Linked DNA regions of Drosophila melanogaster. The gene in region 1 interacts genetically with each later gene. Each region holds a gene or a part of one and is shown on either strand. Other genes may lie near its edges.

Evidence for each region. Genes that interact genetically often act in the same process or in processes that back each other up.
Region 2: of Fs(2)Ket (region 1) and Kap-alpha1, changing one suppresses a phenotype caused by changing the other (phenotypic suppression), as found in Drosophila melanogaster (one study listed by BioGRID).

Annotation. Positions count from the first base shown.
Region 1 is NT_033779.5:20,732,955-20,737,925, forward strand, and holds the start of Fs(2)Ket (female sterile (2) ketel), read left to right. Parts: upstream 1-1,956; 5' UTR 1,957-2,136; exon of another isoform or gene 2,137-2,215; intron 2,216-2,298; 5' UTR 2,299-2,418; coding exon 2,419-2,476; intron 2,477-3,148; coding exon 3,149-3,390; intron 3,391-3,463; coding exon 3,464-4,492; intron 4,493-4,560; coding exon 4,561-4,971. Other genes in the region: TM9SF2 (transmembrane 9 superfamily protein member 2), read right to left, coding at 1-62, 972-1,109.
Region 2 is NT_037436.4:19,805,315-19,810,898, reverse strand, and holds Kap-alpha1 (karyopherin alpha1), read right to left. Parts: upstream 3,668-5,584; 5' UTR 3,580-3,667; intron 2,987-3,579; 5' UTR 2,963-2,986; coding exon 2,762-2,962; intron 2,700-2,761; coding exon 2,215-2,699; intron 2,156-2,214; coding exon 1,892-2,155; intron 1,825-1,891; coding exon 1,325-1,824; intron 1,261-1,324; coding exon 1,079-1,260; 3' UTR 501-1,078; downstream 1-500. Other genes in the region: Cyp305a1 (cytochrome P450 305a1), read left to right, coding at 1-347; CG14104 (uncharacterized protein), read left to right, coding at 3,753-3,959; Ccdc58 (Coiled-coil domain-containing 58), read right to left, coding at 4,109-4,213, 4,267-4,389, 4,447-4,593, 4,662-4,697; CG34116 (uncharacterized protein), read left to right, coding at 4,896-5,531.

The DNA.
Region 1 (4,971 bases):
TACTCATAGGGTATTACGGATTCCTCAGTGTTTAAGCGGTTGACGTACAACAAGATTTCCGACTGAAGAAGATAATCAGGAATTAGATCAATCAATTGGATTGACAACTGTTGATAATACTAGTGTATTTTAATCTTATCGTGGAAATAATTATTAAAGTTTGGTAAAAATTCCAAAAGTTTGCAAATGCGTTCGATAATTTGACCCCGTAATTTGCTTTTACTTTGGGTTCTTAGAAATTTATCTTATCAAAAAGCTCTCTTAGATTGTTAGAAACAATTGAATGTGAAACACCTTAATTAATTCTTATCATTGGGCAACGTCTAATTTAAGGGCGTATAAACCGATTAGGATTTCTTGACCTACGGGTATATTAAAAAGTTGTTTAGATTTGTTTAAAGATAAGATGAAGCAAACAAAACCAATAGCTCACGCTTTATCATCCAATAGTTAGGTCATCTTTTAAAAGGGCTAACCCCATCTATTTGGGATATCAAACTAAAAATTATACTTTGTCCTGAATTTATATTGTTATTGTGTTATACTATTATTACTAAAAAGAAAATAACCCAAACATAATGCAAGGAAGCATGACAAGCTAACCGCGTTCCCTGGTTCAATTATTGGTTAGCCGCCACTATGTTAAGATTCTTAAGGTCGGGAGCCCCCGAAATCGCATTCGCGAGCCAGCTGAACCAACATTAGAACTCCCATCTAGCTGTCGCTAGGAAAGAGAGCTGGCGTAGGCAACGTCAGCAGAAGTTGAGATAGAGGGCCACATATGGACCCCACATATAACTAGTTACTGCGCTTATCAGTGCTTCCGCCTGTGACCACCATTAGAGGAATATAGAACCAATGTACATAACTAGTTCCAGTGCCTTTGCTAATTGTGGCGGGCGTGGGGCAAACACACCCACTATCTACGTACATATGTACATCTGCACTTCTGCACATACGTATACACCTACCTTGCATGTGGATGAGACGTCGGTTTTCTTGCAGAAATTGACCGGTGCCAGTCCGGGCAGATAGAAGGCCTGTGTCGGGGTCGCAAGGTGCAAGAGAACGACGCCCAGGAGCGGCAGAAGTCCGGATAGCAGGATCATCTCGAATTGGGGTAACCAACGAACGGCAGGAGTAGCAGACCTTCTTCCTTTACTTGTACGGGTTGTAATCACAACGTGGCCGTGTCCGCGATTCTCTGCCACACTTTCCGGATCGGCGGGCCACGCACAAACCGTACTATCTGGATATTTATCGGAATATACGGAGTTTTTCGAGTGTTTTTACTACGTTTCCTCTTTTTTGCCGAACGTCAGCACTGTAGCAGCGTTGCCACCTAGTACAGCTGAGAGGGCTGCCAACTGGCTGACAAAAAAACTACCAGCATTTGCAAAGCTAAATATTACCGCGAAAACCTTTAGCTCTTATTATTATTACGTGCAAAACGAAATTTGGTAGACTTAATAAACTTTTATATTTAAATTAATTAATTCCCCTGTTCAGTAAGCGAATGCAACCAATATACACACGTATACGTGTGATACTTCTAAGATATTACTATTTTTATCCACTGTTTCTTAATATAGTAATCAAATTTTGTTCATTTGTTAGTTTTTTACCTACGACTCTTAAGTCAAAGTATTCGATTATTTAGTTCGTTCGAGGTTTTGCTTCCGTGCTTATCTTTGAATATGAAAATTTTCGATAAGCACAATCATTCAAATTTAACGATTGATTTTTGGGGAGGCAAACGCGTTTTAATACAAGTAGTAAGTATTTTGGTCTTATCGTTCCTGACTAATAATATATTTTGTCAAATGGTTGCACATTTCCTACGCATTTAAGAATATTTAATTAATACGTTATTAGATTTAAAAATTATCGATAGTTCGAATAAAGCAATCGAATAGGTGTCGCCTTTTTCATCGAAACTCAGTGCTATCAAATAAAAATCGACATTCGTTTCAGCTCTATTTCAAATCGGAGACACAAGAAATATATTGCCTGCACTTCCCGAAGAGCAGATAAAGGTTCTGCCACCATTAAATAGGCTTATAATAATAACTAAGAAAATCGCCGTTAGGAATCCCGCGCTTTTTTACCGTTCCCGAAAAATAACCAAACAACAATGTGAGTAGAATGAAGAGTTCTACTGAACGCGCTTGTTGTGTGCGTGTGTGCGAAAAAATCAATTCTTTTGACAATCAAGGTGTTGCAACCTGTCGAAATAAAATCGCCAGCTTCAGCGGAGCAGCCCAATAACTTTAACTCTTTTGTCTCCACCATTTGCAGCCGACAGACTAGTGTTGTCTAGTAATTACGCAAAAATTCCATCACCCACACAGACGCACGAGCTGCAGAAAGAAACGGAAAGTGAAGTAGAAATCATATAGAGAGGAAAAGAGCGAAGACATGACTTCCGATATCGCCATGCAATTGATTGCCATTTTGGAAAAGACGGTGTCGCCAGGTGAGTTTCCCCACTGCTACAAACGTGTGTGTATAGATCCGAAAAATATGGATTTTTCTTCGATTGGCGGGAGGGACGCGCGTTATATGTTGCGCAGGGTTGCAATAGGCGCTCGCATATGTTTGGTTGCTAGGGGCCTCCGCACACATGTGCATCCACGTACATACTCCAAGGGAAACTTGGCGGCGCGTCTGTATGTATTCGCAATGCTTGCGCTCCTACAATTAAGGATGTACGAACCGCCTGCGACATAACCTCACTAACTCTAGGAATCGATGAGGCGTCGCTTCGGAGTCACCACCGTATGCTTGGCGGCCAGTTCTTCCGGTTGCTGATAAGGAATGCCTGCAAACTTGCCCCTTGCCTGAAGATTTTATGCTCCACCGCTACAATTCATTACTAGACCTTACTGCTTAGCTCTTCATATGCACACACTTCTTTCACCATCTATTGTATTCTTATTAAACAATATTCTCACTATATACGCCTTGCCTAAAAGTTCCTATCTTGCCTTCACATTCCCAAAAGTCAATTGTTGTAAAATTCAATGGCCTGATACCAAAGCTTTAAGCCGACCCAAAATGGTGGGCGTGTGTAGGCCCACAAATAAAATCTTTCGTTGACATAATTGGAAATTAAAAATGTCTAACCAACCAAATGACGCATTTTCAGACAAAAATGAGCTGCTATCGGCGAAGAACTTTCTGGAGCAGGCGGCGGCCAGCAACCTGCCCGAGTTTCTCAAGGCGCTGTCAGAGATACTGGTGAACACGGCCAACAGTGCGGTGGCGCGAATGGCAGCCGGTCTCCAGCTGAAGAACCACCTGACCAGCAAGGACGAGAAGGTCAGCCAACAGTACCAGGATCGCTGGCATCAGTTTCCCAGCGAGATCCGCGAGTTGATCAAGAATAACGTAAGTTACATACGCTGATGTTGAAACATATGACTTGTACAATTGGCACTGAATAACTGCGACTTACTTTCAGATCCTGGCTGCTTTGGGTACCGAGAACACCCGACCCTCCTGCGCCGCCCAGTGCGTGGCCTATGTGGCCGTGATTGAGCTGCCGATAAACCGCTGGCCCATGCTCATCCAGACACTGGTGAACAAGGTGGTCAGCGAAGGATCCAGCGAGATGCATCGCGAGTCGGCGCTGGAGGCCATTGGCTACATTTGCCAGGACATTCGTTTCGGCGTCATGGAGAACCAGTCGAACGATGTGCTGACTGCTATTATTCACGGCATGAGAAAGGTAGAGCCGAGCAATCATGTACGCTTGGCGGCCACCACGGCCCTTCACAACTCGTTGGAGTTCACCAAATCGAACTTTGAGAAAGACATGGAGCGCAACTTCATCATGGAGGTGGTGTGCGAGGCCACTCAGTGCCAGGACTCGCAAATCTGCGTTGCCGCTCTGCAGTGCCTGGTGAAGATTATGACCCTTTATTACCAGTACATGGAGCCCTACATGGCACAGGCTCTTTTCCCTATTACTTTGGCGGCCATGAAGTCTGATAACGATGCTGTAGCGCTGCAGGGCATAGAGTTCTGGTCGAACGTCTGCGATGAGGAGATAGATCTGGCCATCGAAAGCCAGGAGGCCACTGATCAGGGCCGCGCTCCGCAGAGAGTGTCCAAGCACTATGCTCGAGGTGCTCTGCAGTTCCTGACGCCTGTGCTCGTCGAGAAATTAACCAAGCAGGACGAGTGCGATGACGAGGACACCTGGAGCCCGGCGAAGGCCGCCTCCGTTTGCCTCATGGTGCTGGCCACATGTTGCGAGGACGAGATCGTGCCACATGTGCTTCCCTTCATCAAGGAGAACATCGAGTCACCTAATTGGCGATTCCGCGACGCAGCGGTAATGACTTTCGGCTCCGTGCTGAATGGATTGGAGACCAATACCTTAAAGCCGCTCGTGGAGCAAGCCATGCCCACGCTCATTCGACTGATGTACGACTCCAGCGTTATCGTGCGCGATACCATCGCCTGGACCTTCGGACGTATTTGCGATGTGCGTAGTGGTGATTTTTAAGGTGATTCATATTGTCATACTAACCTTCTACTGCTTTTTCCTGACAGATAATTCCCGAGGCGGCTATCAACGAGACATATCTTCAAACGCTTTTGGAGTGCTTCGTGAAGAGCCTAAAGTCAGAGCCGCGTGTAGCAGCCAACGTGTGTTGGGCCTTCATTGGACTTTCCGATGCAGCTTGGGAGGCAGCGGTCACCAACGACGGAGAGACTCCGGAGACGTACGCCCTGTCCCCGTACTTTGAGTACATCATTACCCAGTTGCTGGAGACCACTGATCGATCGGACGGAGCTCAAGCCAATTTGCGATGTGCTGCTTATCAGGCACTTATGGATATGATCAAGAACTCTCCCTTGGATTGCTACTTGGTGGTCCAGCGCACCACGCTGGTGATTTTGGAGCGCTTGAACCAGGTGATGCAGATGGAAACGCAGATTAACAATCACAGCGATCGTCAT
Region 2 (5,584 bases), on another chromosome or scaffold:
AGCTGGGTGGCTACGACATTCCGAAAAATGCCACAATTCTGATTAGCCTACGTTCAGTGCATCTCGATAAGGAGCACTGGAAGGATCCGCTGGAGTTCCGCCCAGAGAGGTTCATCGATTCGGCTGGCAAGTGCTTCAAGGACGAGTACTTCATGCCCTTCGGCATGGGCAGACGCCGTTGTCTGGGCGATGCCCTCGCCCGTGCCTGCATCTTCTCGTTTCTAGTGCGGATCGTGCAGCATTTTAGCGTTGTCCTGCCGGCGGGAGAGTCTCCATCAATGGTGCTTCTGCCTGGGATTACGCTTACTCCAAAACCATACAAGGTGCAGTTCGTCAAGCGCACCTAAGTTCGTGACTGGAGTCGATGGTGTCGGTATTATAGGTCAAGAGATATGGTGCTGAATCCACTAGGATATTTCCAAGGATTCCGAAAATTATTTACACATGAGGATATTATAAGCTTAAAGATTCAATAAAAACTTATGCCAATCTGCATAGCTGTGGTCTAGATGTTGTTTATTGATGTCCTCTAAATTAAATTACAATGCTTTATAATTTAAACAAATTTACATTCGGCGATTCGCATAACAAAATGATCAAATGAATCAGAATGTATAACAACACCATGTGAGGATCTCATCGTACTTGGGCTGGAAAATATATATATAAAATGGAAAATATTTACAGACTCAATTTGAGGAAAGCAAAAACATATACAATGGGTTCTGTATAACATATTAAATTAGTACAATCGAACTAAATGAAAGCAATCTCGTCATGCCTGGTCCTGGACCACTTCGAAAATTATAGAACTAAACGCTGATACAATAAGCAGGTGAGTGATTGTAACAAAGAAACGAGCCGACCGAACGACCATCTTTCCTTAAATGCTAGTAGTGACTGCACTTGGGCAAGGCAGACGCCTTCTCATGCGGTCTATTTTTCATGTCCGTGCTCTGGCCGCCTTCATTTAAATCCCGGCGGCAAGGCTTCGCTTCCTGTTGCATATGCTTCTGTGTGTTTAGGACTTGAGGGATTCGTATTTGAATAGTTAAACGATGTCCTGCGCGGTAGGGTGCTAAAAGTTAAATCCGGTGCTGGGCATGTTGTCCGGATCGAACTCAAACTGTTGCGTGCCTGCCACGGGAGCCACCCGGCTATCCTCCTCTTCGTTGCCGAAGTACTGTTCGATAATGTAAAATGATTTGTGGTAGATGTCGCGGTTTTCATGCGCCTGCAGATACTCTATTTTGTCCAAACCTATATAATATTAACAGAATCGATATTTAAATGGAAATTTGAAAGTAAAAATAAATAGCGTTACCTCCGCATTCCTCGATGGTAATAGCATAGGGATTTGGTCGCGTCTGGAACTTTTCACCTGCCTTCAAAATGTTTTCAAGTGCATTTAGCGCCACTTGGACGATGTCCGAGTCGACGACGGTGAGAAAATCGCACATGGGCGGCACACAGCCAACCTGCACCAGGTAGTGGATCTGTTCGTGCGTACCGCTGCTGGTTGCGTTGGTAATGGCCCATGCGGCCTCCTTGCGAGTCTTAAATTCGGCCGTCTGCATGATAACCATCAGCTGCGGGAATATGTTGGCATTGATTAAGGCCTGGATCTGCTCACGATTGCCGGCTGCAATATTTGAGATTGTCCAGCACGACTCCTTCTTGATTGTTTCCGCCGTCGAATGCAGCAGGTGGCTAATGCAGGTCAAAGCGTTGTACCCCAATATCACCTGGGTCTGCTGATCGTCGCCTGTCACAATATTGCCCACGGCCCTCAGAGCAGCTGTGCTCACGTTCTGCTGAGGATGTCTGCCAGGATAGGTCAACAAATCATAAGTGTAATTTTAATTTGTAATGGCGCAGCAGGACTACTTACAATAGCAGCTCAACCAGGCGACGGCAAACACCCGCATCAATTACAGCCTGGATTTTATCATTGGGACCATCTGACAGGTAGCCTATGGCCCAGCAAGTATCGCTTAGTACATCCGCATCAGTGTACTTCAGCAACCGTGCCAGTATTGGTAGACCATGGCTAATTTTGGCAAAGTCTGCGGGAGGGCTTTTGCCGCGGCACAAGTTTGAAAGTGTCCACACCGCATTCCGTATCATGGTAATGCGATCCGAGTTGCTCAATACACTGCAAGAAGTCACACCTACTTTGGCGCAATCTTATCAATATAATTATTTATAACTTACTGCAGGAGAGGCTCTAGAATGCCGGAGCCGAGCAAATGGTCTCGACACATGGGTGAGTCACCGGCTATGTTGCCTAGGGCCCACACGGCCTGTTCCTGAACATCATCATGGGGACTGGAGAGCAAATCAATGAAGATAGGCACTGCCCCGGCCTCGATAACCACCTTGGTCTGTTGCGAGGTGCCCGATGCGATGTTCGTTAGCGTCCAGGCGGCCTCGAACTGCAGCGTGGCATTTGCGCTATTTCGCAAAAAGGTGACAAACTGTGGCACTATCCCCTTCTGGATGACTTCCTCAATGGGAGGATTGGGATCGCGGGACAGCAGTTTGCGGAACTTTTGAGTCGCCTCAAGCTGTTCGTTTTCACGTCCACTGAAGAGCATTTGAATCATTTCCTCGTTGATTACGGATGGCTGTGCCCCGCTTCCAGCAGCTTCCTCGTTTTGACCGCCAGTGCTGCTGTCAGCCATGTGCATGTCGGCAGCCTGCATTGGAATGGAGAGATAGTTAAGACTATGCTATCAGGCCAAACTTGATCAAAATATACCTGCTGTTCGTTATCGGTGTTGCTCTCCACTCCGGCTGATGTTGAGGATGTAGCCGGCTCAAGAACCACATTGCGTCGCTTAAAGAGCTGCTGTTCGCGTTTGTTTTTTCGCAACTGGATGCCCACCTCCTCGCGACGACGACGCATCTCTGTGGAGTCCAAGGCGGCATTTTTATAACGCTGTTTGTGGCTGGCAGACATTTCGTCGTCTTGGCAATTCAAAAGCTTGAAATAGTTAAAAAAAATATTTCTTTGAGAACAGAATAATTTAAGTCGTAAAGACAGGTTTCAGATAAAAAGTGAGTGCGACTTGATTTTCGCCGCTACTGTGATCAAATGCTAAACGAAAGTGCAAATAATCTAGAAAATATAGGTAGAGGTCGTCGTGGAATGCGAACTAGTTGAATTGAACGTTTATAATCATCACTAGGTGTTCCCCAATGTTCTCATCCACTCCCACCAGGATTATTACGCCCTGTAACCACTGAACATTCGCTTAGCGCCTGCTCTAGGCTAATTTTACATTTCCGGAAACATAAAGATTACGTTGTCAGGCGAATAATTTACATATAATAGGTTCACATTTAATGAACTATTCAGTTTTCCTGGCAAAATGCACAATCACAACACTTTCACATTTCATTGTACGTGTATGTACATATGTGCACACACGGCTGCTTTGCGTTTGTGCGTATAGGTGCGGGCTTAGGTCAGCCAGCATGAGCCATTCGCTGGTCTCCGGTTACGCCCTTCTTTGAGCCACCACAACTCCTGGTTAGAAGAGGCGCCTTCAGATACGTAATTAGAACACAATTTACCTGTTCCGGAGAATCCTTTTCTCGTCTTAATCATGCAAGGGGACGGGAGATTTTACACGTTGTGAGGAACGGGGATGCCGGACTGTCAAAATGCAATGCACACAGCTGACGCGCTATCGATAGCGATATCAACCGATAGCAGTAATTCCAATCCAATTGCATTTAATTTAAACATGAAAGAAAATAAGAAAAAGTCGCGCAAAACGGCCAATAAGACAAATGAAACGTCAGAGGGTCAGAAAAAGAAGATCATTGAACTGCTGCACGAGTACAACGACCTAAAGGATGCCACCCAGCGCGTCCTGGAAGCCTTGGCCAACCTAAAATGCGTACCCGTCGGATCGGTTTACGCTACATACAACCTGCCCCGCGACGAATAAAGTTTGTGCTTTTTAGACTGTTATATTTATGTACTTGTTGTAAACAACTTGTAATACAACGGAGTGCATGTAAATGCCTTCTGGCTTGGCAGTTCCATGAGACTTCTGCTAATAAATCCACCTAAAACTAGTCATTGCATTTGTTCCACCTATTGGCCAGCATGAAAATAGGACCGGCATCGTTCATTGAAGGTCTTGTAGGAACGATCTTTAATGATGTCCTCGACATTGAGCTCGGCCTGGAGAACCCGCAGCTGGAAAGGATCATAGGCATCAGTTAAGAGTAAGACTTAGGTATTTCGGTTACCTTGCGCTGCTCCGCCCTAAACTGGTTATCCGTATCCACATCATCCGGCTGGGTCTCCCGCTTTTCCCTTAGCTTCTTCAGATTACTAGCCGAAATTGTTATGCAACTGCGTATGCTTTCTTGCTGCAAGGAGAAGCTATCTGTCAAGATCCCCGTGTGTTGTACTTAATCAGGATTTACCCTGGCCAAGTGTGACTCCTGGAGCTTCGCGTACAGATCGCGACAGGTGCTTTCACTGTTCACTTGACCCTTAAACGACTCCGTTGGCAGGGCATTTAGTGCATATATAATCTTGTCGTCCACATCTCGCATCTTCTTCAGTGCCTCCTGTTTGGAAACTTAAAGCCATTTAGTATGCCGGCTACTAACCCAAACAACAATATTCCAACCCCCACCTGGAAGCCGAGAAAGTCTAAGCACAATGCCGCCATTTAAACCAGGTAGGAAAACAAGAAAACACTTTAAAAAATAATAAAAACAAAATGATATATGTAAAATTGCCGGCGCAATGTGCCTCTAATCGGGGTTGCCACCTGGGCGGTGCAATCGATTAGCACGATTATGGACAATCGATGTGGATGATAAAGACTAGTTGAACAAAACAAAACAAAATAGCAAAATAATTCAAGATGCCGCTAAAATTCGATGATATTCACGAGAAAATTGAAACCGGCGTCTACCAATTGGCTGTTAATGACAAAAGCACACGGAGCACTGTGTGGCGGGTGTATCGCAAGATCAAGAAGGACGATGGTAGCTTTCTGGAGCACGTACTGTTCTGCATCGGCTGCAGGAGCATTATGTCCTTCACCCACAAATCCACAACGAACCTGAGGCGTCACCGGTGTCACCTGCAGTATCTCAAGAAACAGGCATTCTGCTGCTACAATTCCAAGGGCGAATCCAACGACAGAAAGGAGGAGACGGACCAGGAGCATCATGAGGAACATGATGACCAACAATCCATGTCGGATGAGTTGGAAACAAAACCCTCTCCTGCCGATGTTGCCGCCTTTGTGGGGGAAGCGGTCAGCGGCGGAGATTCCACTGCAGCTTCAGCCCGTATTCCGGACATTCCCGAGATCGCGCTACCACTCGACGCAAGTGGGGTCGAGGAGTCCAATGTTTATGCACAGACCTGGTCCCTTGAGTACCGCAAACTCAGCGAGGACCAAAAATTCTATGCCAAAAAAGCTATAGACGAAATCTTCGTATTGGGCAGGCTACGACGCCTTACTCTGAATACGGTTCCAACGGCGGAGTAGAATAGTTAATCAGGATTAAGTAGGACTTAATTTAAGCTAATATACATACTCTG